3 linked regions of the Oryzias latipes genome follow. The protein of the gene in region 3 interacts with the protein of the main gene of each other region in a biochemical or structural test. Links are inferred from orthologs where the notes say so. Each region holds a gene or a part of one and is shown on either strand. Other genes may lie near its edges. The genes, in order: shc2, hspg2 and kdr.

Region 1 (6,766 bases), about 30 Mb from region 3:
TACATGCAGTCATCGCTGCTCCCTGCATACATTGACCACTCGATTGCACACACAGTGCAGCTTTAAAGCCACAAACCATGTAAATCCCAAACGCTGGTTCCCACAGTCATCTAAAATGACCCCCCCACACCCCTTCTATAGATGACAATATCCTCTCTTTAACCGAGATATCAAGCAAGACAATCTGCATCTGTGGTGACAAGAGCTCATATGTGCTCTTCTGCACGTCCCATGATGCAGATGACTGTGATTAAATGTAATTGAATATAGGAATGAATGGCGCCTGTTTTATACCTTTAAAGGGGGGGGGGGCTTGGACCAGAAACGGGGCTAATTAAGAGCCATTGTCATTACTTTGAGAGGCAGAAGAAGAGAGAGGAGGGCCAGAGGGGTATCGGTCGTGTGGGGAGGGGTTGTTGACATAAACCAGCCTAGTGAGTCTCTAACCCCCCCCCAGAACATAAAGCATTCACAAACACTAACCCAGATTTTATACTACTACCAAGTGGACTTTTGTTAACTCGTGCACAGAGATCCATGAAATGTCAATAATCCATGGAAAATAACCTTATATATGTCGAAAGACTACAAATGATGATTCTGGGGGGAATCGTAATAACGTGCTCCATTGTGGCTCTAAGTGTGCATACATTGGTGTTTTTTTTCTCTCCGCACCCAGACGCCTGAGTGGAGCCCTGACACAGCCCATCTCTGTGGATTAAATTATGCATTCCTCTGTCCTCGCCACATGAGCTGCATAACAAACTGCACGCTTCTTTTGTTTCCTGATTCCAGAAAGAGATACCTTCAGATTGGGATGCTGACATTCTGTTATTCTTGTGGAGAAGATCACGTGGTCAACACTTTAAAAAGTTTTTTTTTTTTTTTTGTTGCAAAGATTTGTGGAACGTACGCAGCTGTACCTTCTGACTTACCCTCACTATGTACGAGGCCCCCTGTCCTGCAATCTTCTTGTCGGGGTGCAGCCAGCCCTGAGAGGGTTTGTTGATGAAGTTGCCTTTGTGGCTGAAGTCCTCTCCCCCAAGCCACATGCCTTCCCCTCTTGTCCTGCGGTTCATTCCTGACCTGGAGCTGCTGGCGGCACCGGGGCTCACCATGAGCTCCGGGGTTCCAAATTCATGACCCGCCGCGCCGGCGGCAGAATTTGCAGCTGCAACTGCTCGCTGCCCCCGGATGGCCTGAAGGGAACAGGGGGTGACACACACAGGGTCACAGGAGTTAAGCACAGCTGCAAGGCTGGCCACCGGTCCACTGGCGGGAGTCGAACCAATGGGCCTGAGTGATGGTGTGGACGTGGAGGAGGCCTGGGATGGAGCTCCTGCTGCCTTGCCCGAGTCCTTGCTAGAGTTGGAGCTGGAACTTGAGTTAGATGGGCTTCTGCTGAGCAGAGAGTTGGAGAACTTCCACTGGGGCATCCTGGGGATGAGCATGCAGAACGTCGTAGTGGCATCTTGCTCCCCATCGAGGCAAGGGGAGTCGGCCAAAGCTGCAGCCCCAGCAGAGGAGGAGGAGGACCGGGCATTGGGGTCCAAAGGAGGCAAAGGAGGAAGAGGAAGGCTTGGGGTGGCGGACGGGACCACTGGCGTGGCCACAACTTTGCTGCTCATGGTTAAGCTTTGCATCAGGTCGTCAGAGGAGGTCACAGACTCATTGCGAAAGCGGCCATACTTTGGCTTAAGGAGCATGCCCGGAGACGCCGCCTGAAGCAGAAGCTGAAGGTGGAGTACGACTGCTAAAGGATGGAGGGGAAAAGGGGAAGGAGGGGGGAAAGGGGAAGGGGGAGTATTGGAAGAGGATGAGAAAACTAAGCAAAAAAAACGAAAAAAAATCCAGACAGAGTCCTATTTCCTTCTAAAAGTCAGCTTAAGGCTTTGTGGTCCTCTCCAGCTCCGGCTCTGTCCCGCTCTCATGCTGCTCTCCTCTTCCTCTGAGCTGGACCGCTTCCTTTCACTGCTCTCCCTCTCTGAGGATGATGTCATTGGTCTATTAAGTCCTGCCCTGCCCAGCTGCTCTCCCACCATTTTCACTGCAACACATCTGCCTGAACTGCAGATCACCTGTGTTTGTCTGCACACACGACAGGACCCTCGCTTTTTCAGCTCTTAAAAAATGTGGAAAATTATTTTTAAAACGACAAATCATGGACTTGAAAATACATTAAATAAATTCTGCCATCTGTCTGCTCATATCAAGATATTTCTCGAAAGAATCTTAAAAATGAATACACGAGAGGAATACACTGAAAACCCCGTCTGCCTTTTTTTAGATACAAATACGAACTCAGGAACTGATGAAACTGAAACCGAGGAAACGCCAGGATTCAATTACTTTAAGTGAATTTTGCATGAGTCATTTCATGTGAGTGTAATTCCATTTGGTCTGGCTGCACCTACAAAAACCGACAAAGTAAACAATACAGCTACGCTTGTGAGCAACTGTTTGACTGACAACAACTACCCCAATCCCATCTGCCTGAGTTACCTCCCCTCCCGCCTCCCAAGAGAGCAATCCGCTCTCTCTGCACGATGCTTTTCACTTCTAACTTTGAACGCTTCTCCTTTCTCCTGTCAGATCATTTTCCCCGCAGCGATATCCTTCCTTCTAAGGAGAGAAAAAAATGGAGACACGTTAAACACGAGAGACACGAAATAGAATGAGGCTACCGGAATTCGACGCAATCAGTTCACTTTTTTCCCCCCTTTGAATCTGCAGAATTTCACGTTATACGTGACATTTTCTGACAGAAAATCAAAGCACCTTAACTTTTAAAGTCAAAAGAATTCTAAAGTTTATTTGAAAGTGTTTTTAATAGATTTTGGCTAAAATGTGACCACATGTCACTATGATTCTACACCCACTACAAAGAGTGGCCATTATGATATGAGGAGGAGAGGTCAAAGGTTAACTTCAGGAATAAAATGCAGTGGTCAGAGGGTTTATTAAGAAGTAAAAAAATCAATTTCCAAAATTTGTGGTTTGAATCATCATCAAATGCAAACAGGATTACTCTATATCTATATAATATTTAGCTACTTCTTTAAAAAAGTGACAAATAGTATTAGTATAACAGTCTTTACAGGAAGGTAATTTCATTGGGAAGAGCCCACTACTTTGAAGCTCATGAACATCTTGGAAACACTTGTCAAATAATAATAATAAACATATTTTTTAACCAAATCGAGTTAGTATAATAAATTGGGAACATTTTTCAACACATGTACTATGCAGTCCGTTTGATCCATTGATGCGTTTGTAAAATAAATATCTTACCTAGAGCATGATGGGTAATTTTGGAGGAGGAACGTGGAAACCTATGGTGGAAACACTCCAGTCCGCTGAACCTCTGATCACTCAGTGATCAATGAAGATGTGATGCAGTTCAGTTACAGCAGAAAGACGCCGGTGACCCAAAACGCCATGAACGAAAGTTTCTGCAGGAATACTGGAAACTACCGTCCTCTACAGCGAATGCCTCCACACTTGTTTGCCGATGGAAAATAAAAGGTTACTGATAAACCAGATGTGATCGATGCCTGTTGATGCACCGCAGCTGGACTTTTACCGGATGTTCTGACCTTGGTTTCCTCAACACATGATTACTACCTTTCCGGTTACTCATTGTGTTTTGTTTAGTAACATTTCACCTGGTTTTCTAAAAATTATATTTATTTATTTTTCATTTTTGAATATTCCATTTTGTTTCCTGGAAATTAATTTTGTTTTCTGAAACGTTTTTTTTTTTTTTCATTTTTGTTTTTTTACGTTTTGGTTCCTGAAATTTTGTTTTGTTTTCCAAAAGGCAATGCTACTCTTGAACATTTTTTTTGTTATTTTTTTATTGTCGTGATCTTTAAATATCTTTTGTACCGATTGAATGATTTGCACTCAAACGCCATCGTACTGCCCCCATTTCCCATCATTTATTTGTTGACACTCTCTCCCGCTGGCTTACAGCCCCTGACACCCTAATCTAACATTAGCAGTGAAACAAAAATAAAGAGCAATATCAAGTTCTGATCCAGATTACAGCACAGACAAGGAAAACCGAGGACCTATTTATTTACAACTGGATGTATCGGAATAAAGAAAAGCTGGGAGCTTTTGGCCCCGCCCAGTGTAGTTTCTACGTCACATATAACCTATTTTCAAACTGCATTTTTTTCTTTCGCCTCCCGATTTGCAACAACTTCAATAAAAAAATACTCAGACATGCAATTTTACGCTGAATTTTCTTTGTATATGTCCCCCGTCATAAGAAAAACGCCACAAGAACATGTTAACACCACAAACACAATATTCATTGGAGTGGGTCTTGTTTTTTTATTGATTTTATTTTGTCCGTTGGAGTGGGTCTTAAGGCACGTTCACACCGGGACGAATTTCGCCGGCGAAACAAAGGGCACCAATGTGAGTGTGCACACCGACGCGAAAAAACGCCACGCGGCAAAAGAGTCAAAAAAAAACGCCTCGGGTTCGTTTTTTTTTTTTTTTTTTGACGCCTCGCGTCGAAATCTATTCGACCAATGAGAATGGCGCTTTTGCACACGTGTCTGGACTTTCTGAAGTTACATTAAAACACAACTTGGGGGCGCTCAAACACAAAACTGCCTTGCTGAGCACACATACCAGCGAAGAAGATAGACGCCAAGTAGCGTCTACACTGCCGCGAAGAAATAATGACGGACATTCTAAAATATCCCCGAACCAAGCACCAGTTGGAGCAACTGGTGCTTGAAATATTCATGTTTTCTTTGTATTATTCTGACAAGCGTGTAAATACTTGCTCTCTTCTTCTGAGTGAAAAGCGACTTTAAGAAGCGTAAAGTTGCGCAGCGCCACCTTGTGTACAGGAGTATTTCTGTTTTACATTAAGCGCCATCTAATGTCAGGGAATGAAATTGCATGTTCACTCCACTCATCGTCAGCGAAAATCGCCTGGGTGTGAACACAAAAAACGTGGCGAAAAACGCTGGCGAATAACGCCTGGCGAATATTCGTCCCGGTGTGTACGGGCCTTAAGGCCTGTTCACACCGGGACGAATTTCGCCGGCGATTTTCGCCGACGTTTAACGCCTCGTGACTAAACAAAGGGCACCAATGAGAGTGTGCACACCGACGCGAAAAAACGCCAGGCGTTAAAGCGTCGAAAAAAAAAAACGCCTCGGGTTCGTTTTTTTTTTTCGACGCGTCGCGTCGAAATCTACTCGACCAATGAGAACGGCGCTTTTGCTCACGTGTCTGGAGCTTCTGAAGTTACAGTAAAACACAACTTGGGGGCGCTCAAACACAAAACTGCCTTGCTGAGCACACATACCAGCGAAGAAGATAGACGCCAAGTAGCGTCTACACTGCCGCGAAGCAATAATGACGGACATTCTAAAATATCCCCGAACCAAGCACCAGTTGGAGCAACTGGTGCTTGAAATATTCATGTTTTCTTTGTTTGATTCTGACAAGCGCGTAAATACTTGCTCTCTTCTTCTGAGTGAAAAGCGACTTTAAGAAGCGTAAAGTTGCGCAGCGCCACCTTGTGTACAGGAGTATTTCTGTTTTACATTAAGCGCCATCTAATGTCAGGGAATGAAATTGCATGTTCACTCCACTCATCGTCAGCGAAAATCGCCTGGGTGTGAACACAAAAAACGTGACGAAAAACGCTGGCGAATAACGCCTGGCGAATATTCGTCCCGGTGTGTACGGGCCTTTAAACCAAAAAAAAATAAGAATTAAGGACTAAAAACTGAGTATTTATTTCTTTTAGTGACCCTGGTATGAGTGGGTTAATGAAAATGAAGTAAAACTACATTTTAAGGCTCAGTTCAAGTAGATGATAAAAAGTCGGAAGATGCATAAGTTAAATATTGGACTCTGTGCATTCAATCATGAAAAATAAACATGTGCAAAGCAAAAATCTTTATTATAACATGTTATAAAATGAGTGGTCAAGTAACACAGAGCACGATTCTGCCATCAAAATCAACACTCCATCTGCATGCACGTCCTGCTTTTATGAACTCCTAACAAACGATAAAGGCACTCCCCTTTGGGTCATGTGACTGCTCAACTGTTGATCAGGCATCGCTAAGCTGATGCTTAGCTTGGAAGAAGAGTCACATGCAGCAATATCTGACCACAGAACTGCAGGGTTTGGCTTTGGGAACAATGCCTCATAAATTCTGACCTTGAAGGTTAAAATGCAGAAGCTGCAGGAGGAGAACGACTTCATGGTCCCTGCTGTGACATCCTCAGGATCTGATAGAGAAGACGCTGCACCTCTTCGTCCATGTGACCCTGATTTCAAAACAAAAGCACAAACTATATTATAGCATTTCAAAGACATCAACGTTTCAGTAGTTTTATGCTCATCTCCTTCCAAACTTTACATGTTTATTAAGTTAAAGATTTTTCTTTCTGTTTCTTTTAAAGTAATGGCATCTTTTGATCTATTTTCAAAGCTTTGTGGTTTGTTGTTGTTGTGGGTCCTTTGTTGTACCAGTAAGGCTTTTTCCAACAGCATTTTTTCATCTGCTCCTAATTCACAGCGATTTGAATAAAAATTACTCAGAAATGCAAATCTGTTTTGTTTTCTTCATAAACAGTTGAAACCAGAGGTTTACATACACCACATAAAATCACACAAATGCCTTTCTTACTCAGTCAGACATGAAATAACAGTAAACTTTTCCAGTTTTAGGTCAATCAACAAAATTATTTATTTTTGAATAATATCAGAATAATGAAAGTA
Region 2 (6,123 bases), on a different chromosome or scaffold from region 3:
TTATGTGCAGAATGCATAAGCGCCCAGGGTTTTTGTCCGTGTTTTCATATATATTTGTTCATGTTGTAGTCAACAGCCTTACCGACGTGAGGTCTCCGGGTACGGACAGGGACATGGCTTGCAGTCATCAGGGCGACCCCGACCTGGGTCACCAAAGTAGCCGGGGCGACACTTCTCACACTGAGGGCCTTCTGTGTTGTGCTGGCAGCTCTGTGTGGGCGAGAGCACACAGCTCGTTCTGTTACAATGAAGTTCAAAACATCTGAAAATGAAGGCGTTGAGATTTCTGAGACTACAGTCTATTCTTTTCTCATTTTTTCCACCATAAAGTCTCTCATGTGTTAGCAACCATCTTTTTTACATCATTGTTTGCCACAATAAATAAGATAGTTCAAACTGGTAGACTTTTTTTTCCACTAAAGAAGTTAACATTAGCACAAACATGCTAAAGGAGAATTATACATTTTTGGACAGTCGGACACTTCAAGCTAATTTCATTTTAATTTTAACAGAAAAAAATTATCAAACTCCTGTTTTTCTGCAAGAGTTATGTTTAACAAGCCGAAAGGGACAAGATATAAAGCATTAGAGATATTTGCTCCAACATTATAGCTATTTATGAAGTCCTTCACTATTCTCTAAAAGACTGTATAGTGTGGGAAAGTCCAGTGCCATGGATTTCAATGCAACTCAGAAAAATGTATTTATATATATATATATATATATATATGTGAGTGTGTGTTTTATAAATCCCAAATACTTATTTGCAGAATTAAATTCCAAATAAATAGGAACATTTTACAAAAAAACTATTTATGAAAACTATTATGAATCCTATTTATGAATCCACAGGGTTCTGATGATGACAGCTTGGATGACTCATACAAAGTAATGTAAAAAAAATTGTTTAACCTTTGTGCTATCCTATGACCCCACCTTTATATTAACGTGTTATCCCTACCATGACAAAGGTGGATAAAGTTGAAGAGGATTTCATGTAATCCATGGATACCAGTGAAGATTACAGATTATTGAAGAAAAAAGGTTCAGCGCACCGTCTTGTGGGGTCTAGATGACCCAACTCCCAATGTTAAAGTGCCTAGGATAGCACACTGGTTTTTCGCAAAGACGTCTGGGAAAATTCTACAGCACTTGATCTATTAATTGTAGATTCGGACAGCACTACAAAGTGGTAAACGCACTATATAGTTCACTATGTAGTGAGTAGTGAAGGAATTCGGACACAGCCCCTAAACAACCCCTACAAAATGGTGAAAATGCCATATAGGGCACAAAGTATTGTGAAGCAAGTAATAGGGAATTCAGACATAACCTACAGATCTCTAAGGACCACAGGAAGAAATGGATTACAGTGATTTAAATTTTGGCAGAAGGACCATTTTTCAAACAAGGCATTTCAATGTTATGCATTTTTTCTTTACAGCTTACAGAAACTGGACTTTTTTTCAAATTTGTACGCTGTTTATCCTTGAAATTGGTTTAATCTTTGCCAGGTCTAGATTAACCTCACAGACATCAAAACATCTCCTGTTATATGCTGCCGTACTGTAAAATTGTTCCATTTCTCATTTATTTGCCACAGACTACCCAGCCAAGTGGACCCTACCAAGCAGTTTCCGCTGATGGGATCACAGTCTGTGGCATGTCCATTGCAGTTACACCCTGCACAGGTGCCAAGATAAAGGCCACCAGGGACACGCTCGAAACCGGAGGAACAAATTTCACAAGACAGGCCCGTGTATCCTGCAGGACATCTGGAAACGAGAAACATAAGCATCATTGTGCAGGGTTATAATCTACTACCAAGAGGCAAGTAATATCATGAATAGGAAACAGCTGGAGGAGGAAAAGCCACAGAAGCAGAAACACCATCAACATGCCATAAACAAACGCACATTACCATTATTTGTTCTCACTTTTCTGATATAAAATCCCCTCCAACCCTCAATAAATAAATATAGATATTTACTATTGTGTGGTTGTTTATACAAATAAGTATCCAACCTTTAAGGAATGTAGACAAAAGTAATGGACAGTTTTTGAGAAGGAAGTTCTGTTTTCTCTCCTCACCTGCATTCTTCCACATCCCTAGCAGGACCTAGTGAGATGAACTCTGTGGTGGTGGTCTCCATGACAATGTCACTGAGTGCCACACTGACCATGTGGTTGTCGTAGATGGTGCGGATGCTGATGGAATCCAGGTTAGCCAAAGTCATCATCAGCTCGCCACGGCTCACGGGTTGTCCGTTCGAGTGCTGCCAGTTGTCCTGAAAGGTTGAGAGGCAGATAGATTGACCGGCTGTGTGATCAATCTGTCTCTCCATTTGTGGTTGATACAAAGCCTCTGACAGAACTTGGTCTTACTTCAGTGAATCGGATCTCTTTCTGGTTGACCACATTGGCTGGGGTGCTTTGGCCTCTGCGGTACACAAGCCGGCGTCCGTTTCCAACCAGAATGACATCTGGCCTCTCCACAGACTCAGACAGACCTCGAGCCAAGGTGTAACGCACCTTAAATTTTAGGGTTCCTCCGTAGGAATCAATCTAAAAATGTATTGATTGGTATTAAGGGTTATACTTAGTCTTTCAAAACAGACAATATAAATCATTACTATATTTACTTTGTTCCCCAGGAACTGGCGAGGCAAAGTCCAAAAGGAGTCAAGGTTGAGGAAACGCCGTGATAAGTCAACGAGTTGGAACTCCTCCATCTCTGGCTTAATGAGGAGCTGGGTGGAGGAGAGCGGGGGAGTGCTGGGCCTGGAGGGGTAGCTGACGTTCACTCCTGTAGGCAAATCATAGCTCTCTCAGTCCTCAAGGTCAGGGCCACAAATACCTTTCGAGTATGGAGCTCATTTTTTGCCTTTGAAGTCTTCCTCATCAGTGAAGCGCAGTCTGATCTGGTCACGGTAGCGCCCAGCGCTTTTGCAGTTCTTGGAAATTCCAGCGCAGAAGCAGGGCACACAGCGGTCGTTCACACTGAAGGTACCATCAGGGCAGTTGCCTGAAAGGGTGCGGGATGGGGGGGTTCAGCTACAGCCCGTGTTGGTGATCCCGAAAGGCTTGTACCTATTGATAGTGGTAAATACCTGGGATTGGGTTTGATACCAGGGTTAACACTCCATCTGGGACCCCGAACACCAGGCCTTTAGCATTGATGGCCTCGCATGTGTACGCCCCCTGGTCCGACTCCTTCACATCACGGATCGTGAGGGTGCCAAAACCATTTTTATTGTTCATGGAAACCCTGGGGAATGAAAGAGATTCATTTTGACTTGGTAAACTGGCCTCTGACTTTCACAGACTGGGAGAAGAAAAAAATCCTTAGAATTCCACTGTAATTGTCTAACCGCACACACACCAGGACGAACTCACACTGATTGCTCTGCAACCACAGCGCATCACAGCTTTCTCGCTAATTAAAATCACAAGGCTAGTTCAGACACAAGCCAGAGTTTAAACATGCACAGCTGCAAACAGACATTAACATTTAAAAAAAATGAAGCTTTTGGTCTGCAGCATTGACTACACAAACCCAGAGGAATCATGGGAAATAGGCTCTGTGGATACATTGATCCCAATATAGCAGCTGAATTCCTTCCCAAAGGAGAGCAATCCACAATATTTCTTTATACTAAACAATTTTTACAGCTTCAAAGACTTTCCAGAAGATTAAATGTACAGTGTTCCCTAGCTATATCACTGTTCACCTTTTGTCTGTATTTCACAGATTTTTTCAGTGCAATTTCACTTTTTTGTTTTTGCTTTTGCAGCACATTGTGTTCTGCATCCTGATTGGTGATAGACCTTGTCAATTAGTCTCCTCCGTGCTATGTCTTCTGTACAGAATACATTTCAGCTTTCAAGAGAAAAGTGTATGAAGTGTGTAGTGAGGTGGTTTACAGCTCTTAAAACATTTGTAATCCAACTTCAACAAAGGGAACAACAGAGGGAACAATGCTCTAACTATCAGACAACTGAAGGACAATATCAGTTTGATCGACAGTCAGAGATTATTATTGATAGATTATTCCAAGCTGGTTCATAAACAATCAGAATTCATTTATTTTCTTTTTCTCTCAAAATCTGCACTCATAAGCAAAATGTTAAAGGGTTTTTCAGAGCAGAGTTGCTTTATGTTCTATAAGATTTCTTGTATGTTTGTCATTATTTGACCTTTTCCTGTGCTTATTATAAAAAAAACCCTCATATAATCCTTACTCATTATCAAACTTTACTATAATGCTACATTCTCACTGGACTCGCAACGCACGTTCGAACAACCACTTTGAAGGAAAGGTCTATCTAAACATGCATACATGGGTGTTTCTGGCCGTTAAGACAATTTTCTGTCTATTAGTACAAAAAGTGTGTCCATTGAACATGCATTTTGCAGATGAACTTTGACCGATCGGGGACTCGGATTTGGTTATGACCTTAATTCACAGAACCATTAAAAAATTGATCATGGAGGAGAGAAATTATTGATTGCTCCCTGGCGGAATTGTATAACACCAAGTCTTTCAGATATCGGAAAAGAGCAGTAAAAAAAAGCCTGGAGCATAATTTGCAAGATATGCACCACTTTGACATTTCGCACCAAGCTTTTTCCAACTCTAGTGCCAACTCATGTGCTAGAATTGGGTAGCAACAGTCCAGTGTGAACAGCATCTGCTAAATGTCTTTTCAAAACTGCGTGTTTAGCTCATCCTACAACGCATGTGACATGCGCAGTGTGACAATAGCAAAAAACTGGTGCATCCCTGACAATTGGGCCTGAAAAGAGCTTGATGATGGTGCGATTAACATATGGTACAGAAGATATGCCCCCAAGGACCGTGTTTAAGAGAAAAAAAAAACTCTGAAACACTTTAACAAAATTTGGGCGGATTTTTGATACGTTAAGCCAAATATAAGAAAATCAACTCACCTGCCACTCACAGGAATGTGTCCCCAGTTGAGTCTCCAGGTGATCATTGGGGTTGGAACGCCAACAGCCCGACAGGTGAACATAACAGTTGAGCCCCGTACAGCCTGGATGGACTCCTCTGGTGGGGTTGTTACAGTGGGAGGGGCTAAAAAGTGTCAAATGGATATTAGAGAAAAACAAGACATCTATTCATGCACAAATAAGAGCCGCTAAGTGAGTACATTTTGGCTACCCGGCTAAGAAACATAAATGCCTGACACCTAACTCCCAAGTATGGATGGAGAATTTCCTTCAAGTTCTCACGAATGAGTCTATCAGAAAAAGATGTTTCTCACTCAACAGATGTTTGACAAGAGCTGTGGCTAATCTGTCACAGCATGCGTGCCAAAAAAAAAGACTGAAATGTTCATGAGAGAAAACAAAGATCCAGCTGCTGGAGTGGGACTTACTGCAGCCGTACTCGTCAGAGCGATCAGCACAGTCCGGCTCTTCGTCGCACTGGTAACTAGCTGGGATGCACTTGCGATCACTGACGCATTCAAAGTGCTTAGATGCGCACTGCTCTTCAGGGCCTTTGGTAGCTGCAGTGATGAATAGATAGAAACAGAAAGACACGTCTGATATTTTGGGACGGCGATTTGGGAAACAAGTTGTCAGATAGGGTTGTCTTATTGGTAATCATAAACAACAACGTAACAGCTCACAAAAATGAGCACTTTCAGCATGTCAGTGAAAAAAAACCCTTTATTTTTTAAAATACAGATGGAAATTGTTGTTTCAGCTCATGGAAAGAACAGAGTTCAGACTTACGACAGTCCATTTCATCAGAATTATCCTCGCAGTCATTGTCACCATCGCAGCGCCAAAGCTTGAGGGCGCAGCGGCCATTTTTACACCTAAACTCATTTGGCTCACAAGGTGATGGAGTGCCTAAAAAGCATGCAAAGCTGTTCAGGTAATATAGGTACAAATTTTGAGGGCAGGAAAAACAATACTTTTCTTGGTGAATAAAAACCCAGCTAAACTACAATTCCCAGTGCCCCACCCCTTCACATTTGGTAACATTGAAAAGCCCCAAATGTCTTCTGTAGATACCAAAATGAGGTAATTCAGTAGTATCCAGTGGTCAGGAGGTATTCAGGTTTAGAAATGTCCTTTACAGAGGACACATT
Region 3 (6,123 bases):
CTTCCCTGGAGCAGCACACCGAGTGAACACTGACATCATTGCCCTGCCTCCCTCATGGAACAGCTGATTGGAAAGGATTTATGCAACAGTTTTTGCATGGTGGATGTGAAAATGAAAATGCAATCCCCTCTTTGCATTAATGCTTTAATTATGTCACAGAATGGGGGTGTTAAAGTGGAAAAGCATTTTGGAGGATTGATTTTTTATTTTACTTTTGAATCAATTGATGCAGTTACATTGTGAAAAGGAAAAAGCATTTTTTTAATCCATTTTAATCATCTACTTAGATACAGTATTTCTAATTGAATTTTGGTACACATTTACTAGAGAACTTTTTGAAAATGAAATGTCAAAAAACATTTTCTTTGTCATTTTAATAAAGTGACAGACTGAGCGGTGAAGAAGAAGAAAAAAACTGTTTAGCAGATTTATTTTTCATCTAATTTTTGAGTCAATTACGTAGCTTTATTGTGCAAATGAAAAAACATTCAGGTATTAACTTCTATTTTGAATGATGAGACAGAAATGCTTCCATAGAGCAGGGGTGACCTGGTCTATAATACAGCTCATGCTGGGGCACCTGACGGTTTTCCTTACTACACACAAAAGCTTGGACATAGTTTAGTGTCAATAACAAAGCATCTCATCTTGGCTGGATGAATTTATCAGTTGCTGAAGTCTTATTTGCACAGTTTTTCCTTCCATGAACTTCCATAAGATCAACATTTTCAAACAATTCAAATAAATATGAATAATTATGTTGTTATTTTCCTGCAGAAAAGCCTTTCATTGAAATGAAGGAACCCTGGCCAAAGGTCTGGGAAGTAACGGTGGGAGCTCAAGCAAGTTACCCTGTCAGGTACTCTGCGTACCCTGAACCCAGCTTTAAATGGTATGTTCATGTAGCAGTGGCAGTTTGTCATCAGTTGTGTGTCATAAACAGTTCTTTTATTACACATGAAAAAGCTGCACATTGCACATTTTTGTACCATTATTCTGTTTAGGTTAAAAGATGGCCTAGTACTTAAGGAGAGTTACAGAATCAAACAGAAGAGCGACGCTCTGGTCTTCCGTGGCGGAGTCATGGAGGCAGATGAAGGAAACTACACATTGATCCTAAGCAATAAGGTCACAAAAGAGGAGCAGAGATCCTCTTTCCAGCTGCTGGTCAATTGTATGAAAGATGACTTCTCTTCTGTTTTGTTCCTGAGCTTCTGAAAATGTCATAGTGATGATTTCTTTTTTCCTTCAGTGCCTCCTCGTATTATTGAGAAAGAAGTTCCAGTGGACATGTATTCATATGGTGGGAGCCCTGATCTGACATGTACCGCCCGTGGATTTCCCATTCCTGAGAGCATTCAGTGGCAGTGGATGCCTAAGGAAGACTGCAGGGAAACCTTTGTGTAAGTCGTTTTTGTGTGTGTGTGTGAAAACCAGTAAACACTGGATTTCTTCCTTTTTTGTTTCTGTGCCGTGATCACATGCCTCGTCATCATTTATTGTCATGAGGTTGGCAAAAACAATAGAGGTTGTTGACAAAAACAAGAAAAAAGACAATGAGGGGCACTCTGACCCTGATGGAGATCAGCGGATGTGATTCGGTCTCTTCAAAATGTTCGATTTTAGAAGACATCAGACTTTCTTGCACAAATCTTTGTTCTGTCTGGGCCAGTTGTTTGAGATCGGAGCTCCAAAGTCTGCAGCCTGCACATTTCTGCAGTGACACAACTGCCTGCTCAGTGACTCCTGCAAGGGTTGAATGGGTGTTGATAGAGAGGAGGTTTGTTCTTTCGTGCGTAAGTGGCCACTTTGACCAGAGAAGACCATGCAGCAGCTTCCTTATCTTCTGCCTGCACATCCCAGAGTTTCCTTCGTCCTGATCCACATTTCCTGTTGTTCCTGTAGCTCTTTCAAAATGAAAAAAAAAGAAAATAAAACGCCCTAGTGTACAATTTCGAAATAGAATGACTTGGTTTCAAGAAATACACTTTAAATATAGTGAACTTTCTCTTATCGGCAAAAATGATCGAAAAAAATGAGGGAAAAATTCCCATCATATTTAAAAACAAGACGACATCCCAATAAAATGTTTGCACACTGCAAAAACTGAATTGTAATAAATTAAAAAGACCATTGTTCTAATGTCTTCTTTTCTGTCTTGCGTAAAAATAATCTCATCACGAGTGTTTTTCAATAGCAAAATAATTTTATTGACTAGACCTTTTTTTTTTTTAATTACAATTCTTGGTAAGATCATTTTTCTTACCCCACTTAACTGGCAGATTTTTTTTAATGCTTATTCAAATAATTTTTTTTTCATATTTTAAGATTATATTACTTACTTCTAGAGGGGTTGTTTTTGTAGTTACCAGGTGTTATATTAAATTTACTAAGTTTATTTTTATAGCAGTTACGAAAAAATAAGTGGCAAGATTAAGAGTTGGTTAATGAACTAAGCTGAGGCTAGCCCAGTTTTTTGGAATGAATCATGAAAATGGTATTCCAGCTTGGTTTTCCGTGTCCGTTTTTATTGCATCAGGCCCGGAGTGATAAAGCCTGAGGTGGTGGATAAGTGCAAAAACTGGAGAGATATCAGCAACAGCAGTGGGTACAACCATATAGAGAGGACTACAACTGACATCGATCCTCACGCAAAGGTAAACCACTGACTGATAACCGCAGGTTACAATCACTTCTCTACCAATCATCATTTTAGGTGTGTGTTGGGCATTTTTATCTTTTAAAGAATGTTAACAAATACATTTGATTCACTTTTTAGAAAATTGTAAGCACTTTAAGGATCCGGAACGCAGACACCCACTCACTCTACAGATGCATGGCTTCTAATAAAGTTGGGAAGGACAATCGGATAATCATTTTCCGTGTGACAAGTAAGCATTATGCTCCTTCATCCCTTCTTGTTGCATACATGTGCTTTATAACACATTTTTTTCATTTGCTTTCTGATAGGCAACCTTGAAGTGAGTATGTATCCATCTGATAAGCCCTTGGAGGAGGACAATGTGGCTCTGAGGTGCAAGGCGGACAAACTGATCTACACCAACCTCACCTGGTTCCTTGCGGCTAATGTGTCCAAGTCAGAGCGGGATGCGCCGATTCAGCCGTGTCACTCCATGACCCTTCAGCCGGTCCCCGTGTCACAAGCTGTGCTGCCCACACAGCAGGGAACCAACATCACCTTGGAGCTAATGCTGCCCAATGCATCCTTTCAGGATGAGGGCCTCTATGCCTGCCAGGTGGTGAACATAAAGACTGGGGTGAAAACGTGCCTTCTGCTGCGTCTGTCTCTAAGAGGTTCCTGCTTTACACATCTTTTGCAAACATGCAGAGTCTTGAGGGGTCTAACATCAGTTTTTCTATGACTTCAGATCTCATGGCTGCAAGAATTCGCAATAATTTTACTGACCAGAAAGTAAATGTTAGTGCCACCATTACTCTCCACTGTGATGCCTTTGGGATACCCAACCCAACAGTGGTGTGGACCAAAAACAATAACACGGTGGTGGAGGGGTCTGGTGGGTTTTGCTCTCATCTAGTTCTTCTTTTGTGATTTTATATGTCTCCCTAATAAATTCCCTGTTGCCCTCAGGTGTGATATTGAACCAGAACAACCTGACAATCCAGCGTGTGAAACAGCAGGACAGCGGTCTGTACACCTGCACTGCCTGCAACAGCAGAGGCTGCGACACCTCCCAGGCTGTCTTGACTGTTGAAGGTCAGTGTAACCTTAAACTCTTACATATGCATCTCATTTCCTGCTTTTGCACATCACAGTATTGAAGCAAATGCTTTAAATTACCATTTTCCTAAATTACCACTCTTCCCATCATGTAAACCTTTCCCTTCATTCTTGCTTATGCTTTTATCAGACTTGCCACCTGACAGCTCCGTCCTCTCCAGCTTGCTTACAGATAGCAGAAGATAGATTCTGCATAACTAAGAATAAAAATTTGATGGAGGTTAAGATTGAGAAATTGGAGGTTTAACTGTAACTTTGAAATCAGGACTACACTTAGACTGCAGACAAACCTGGATCAGATCAGAATCAGAAGTACTTTATTGATCCCACACGTGGGAAATGTGTGCGTTACTGTAGCAAGTAAACATAAGAGAAAAAAGAACAAGATAAAAACAATAATATAAAAAAGAAAAATGTAGCATGAATGTAAACAAACAAGACCATTTACAAACAGGTAACAATGTGCAAAAAAAGAGCAGATATATGAAGAATTAAACATCTCTGGATAAGCATTTAGTGAAGGACATAATGTCTCAGGGTAGCCTCAAACAAGGTTATGACATGGTTGTCTTTCTTTGTGACCTCAGGCTTTCAGATACTACTACAAGCTTGTGGTTTTTCTTTGTGGTCACATTTTTGTTGTCTTTTTGTGAAAGCTCTCTTTGTGGTTTTGCTGTCCACTATCTCTAGCATGCATGTCATTGAACAAAAGCTCGGCACTGAGGCACAACTAATCCTCTGGCACCTGGGCTTGTGCCCAGTTGGACAGTTCTGTGATTCATCTGAGGACGTCGCAAATGTGTTTCATAGCTGAGAATGAATGACAACCTAAAAGCTCATGGAAACAAATTCAAGATGAAAGTCTGACAATAGAGGTCCTTCAAATCACATGACACGATTAAAATGTTTGATATCAAAGAGACAGAATAGAAATAGCTTTTTGTACCCATGGAAGTTGGACCAAATAATGCACGTCCTCCTGGGATTTTTGAAATTCAAACAATGAAGAGACTGTGGGACAAAGAGAGAGGCCAGCCCTTCCCCAACGCCACTTGTACCCTCTCTCTGTGCTTCTCAGTCCCGAGCAGAAGGACACAACCCAAAACAAACAACTGCTGTGACTGGAAGCAGCGCTTACGTGACCCTGTCCGCGTCTGCACTGTGGTCCAGTCACAGGAAGTAAGACTCCTAAGAAAGAAAGCAGCACAAAAGAAACTTCCTATGCATAACATTCGTGTCACAAACTTACAAGTACAGTACTTTCTGACAGACCCACTCCAATGAAAATGTTATGTTTGGTGTTTTTAACATGTTTTTGTACCATTTTTCTGATGGTGGACATATATAAAGAAAATTAGGATTAAAATTGCATTTCTGACATTTCTTTAATAAAATCGTGGTGAATCAGGTAGACAAAAAGCAGACAAAAAAACACTGTTGACTGTTGAAAAAATCTTGTAGCTGTGACATAGAAACTAAAATCATCAGGCCACAGTCTCCCTGCTCTTTTCCATTCTGATGCATTCACTTGCAGACAAATAGATCTGTGTATGTCTTTGTTTTCCTCGTCTGTGCTGGTATATGCTCAGATCTTCTTCTCCACAGACATTTCCACTTTGTTCATAGCTGGTCCTCCCAGGCCAGCTAAGAGACTTGGTCCCTCCAGCACATCCTGGGTCTTCACTAGAACCTCCCGGTGTGACATGCCAAGCTTGAAGTAGCTTATTCTATTCCAGCTGTTCTCACTTATCTGTGAGTTGCCCAGTGTAGAGTCTAACATGCAGTGGAAACAGGTTCAACTGCAATTATAAGCAAGCTCCTGCTCTGGTTTTACTGACCTTAGTAGAGGGCCCCAAACCCCACATTGCCATATCAATCCCCTCAATTAAAGACAGGATATAACGCTTTTTCCCAAATCCACAATGCCTGTGTGGTCTGGATGGGCAAACTCTCATGAACTCTCAAGCGTTGTCTAGAGCTGATTGCTGTTCATTTGTTCCTGGATGAAAATTGCCCTGTCCCTCAAAAATCAGAGGTTCGAACATGGACTCCTCTCCCATTCCCTAGAGTACACTTCCCAGGGATGCTAGAGAGTGTAATTTCCCGTAATTTGGGGTCCGGTTCTCTTTCTAGAAAAGAGGGACAACCACTAGTCTGCTTGTCCATAGGCATTGCCCTCGACTGCCATGCAATGTCGCAAAGGCATGTCACCTAGGACAGCTCAACAGCTTTAAGAGATTTAAGATTCTCAAGGCGGACTTCATTGACCTCCTAGGAGCTTTTTGACTTCCTTTGGGATTTCAGTTTTGGTGGTCTACGAGCGAATAAATACGTTCTACAAAGGAAAGTAAGGAACTCCTTAA

Evidence for each region.
Region 1: the proteins of kdr (region 3) and shc2 form a complex in vitro, tested with the Homo sapiens proteins (2 studies listed by BioGRID). The link is inferred for Oryzias latipes from reciprocal best matches to the Homo sapiens genes KDR and SHC2.
Region 2: the proteins of kdr (region 3) and hspg2 form a complex in vitro, tested with the Homo sapiens proteins (2 studies listed by IntAct). The link is inferred for Oryzias latipes from reciprocal best matches to the Homo sapiens genes KDR and HSPG2.

The regions. Positions count from the first base shown.
Region 1 is NC_019862.2:29,911,530-29,918,295, reverse strand, and holds the start of shc2 (SHC-transforming protein 2), read right to left. Parts: upstream 3,598-6,766; 5' UTR 3,292-3,597; intron 3,275-3,291; exon of another isoform or gene 1,751-3,274; 5' UTR 1,707-1,750; coding exon 936-1,706; intron 1-935. UniProt on the Homo sapiens protein: Signaling adapter that couples activated growth factor receptors to signaling pathway in neurons. Involved in the signal transduction pathways of neurotrophin-activated Trk receptors in cortical neurons.
Region 2 is NC_019865.2:23,376,089-23,382,211, forward strand, and holds part of hspg2 (basement membrane-specific heparan sulfate proteoglycan core protein), read right to left. Parts: intron 5,882-6,123; coding exon 5,762-5,881; intron 5,533-5,761; coding exon 5,401-5,532; intron 5,097-5,400; coding exon 4,952-5,096; intron 3,269-4,951; coding exon 3,111-3,268; intron 3,026-3,110; coding exon 2,885-3,025; intron 2,807-2,884; coding exon 2,643-2,806; intron 2,566-2,642; coding exon 2,386-2,565; intron 2,289-2,385; coding exon 2,092-2,288; intron 1,776-2,091; coding exon 1,628-1,775; intron 211-1,627; coding exon 83-210; intron 1-82. UniProt on the Homo sapiens protein: Integral component of basement membranes. Component of the glomerular basement membrane (GBM), responsible for the fixed negative electrostatic membrane charge, and which provides a barrier which is both size- and charge-selective.
Region 3 is NC_019862.2:263,176-269,298, forward strand, and holds part of kdr (vascular endothelial growth factor receptor 2), read left to right. Parts: intron 1-777; coding exon 778-892; intron 893-1,004; coding exon 1,005-1,174; intron 1,175-1,252; coding exon 1,253-1,403; intron 1,404-2,539; coding exon 2,540-2,657; intron 2,658-2,779; coding exon 2,780-2,891; intron 2,892-2,970; coding exon 2,971-3,315; intron 3,316-3,389; coding exon 3,390-3,536; intron 3,537-3,610; coding exon 3,611-3,736; intron 3,737-6,123. UniProt on the Homo sapiens protein: Tyrosine-protein kinase that acts as a cell-surface receptor for VEGFA, VEGFC and VEGFD. Plays an essential role in the regulation of angiogenesis, vascular development, vascular permeability, and embryonic hematopoiesis.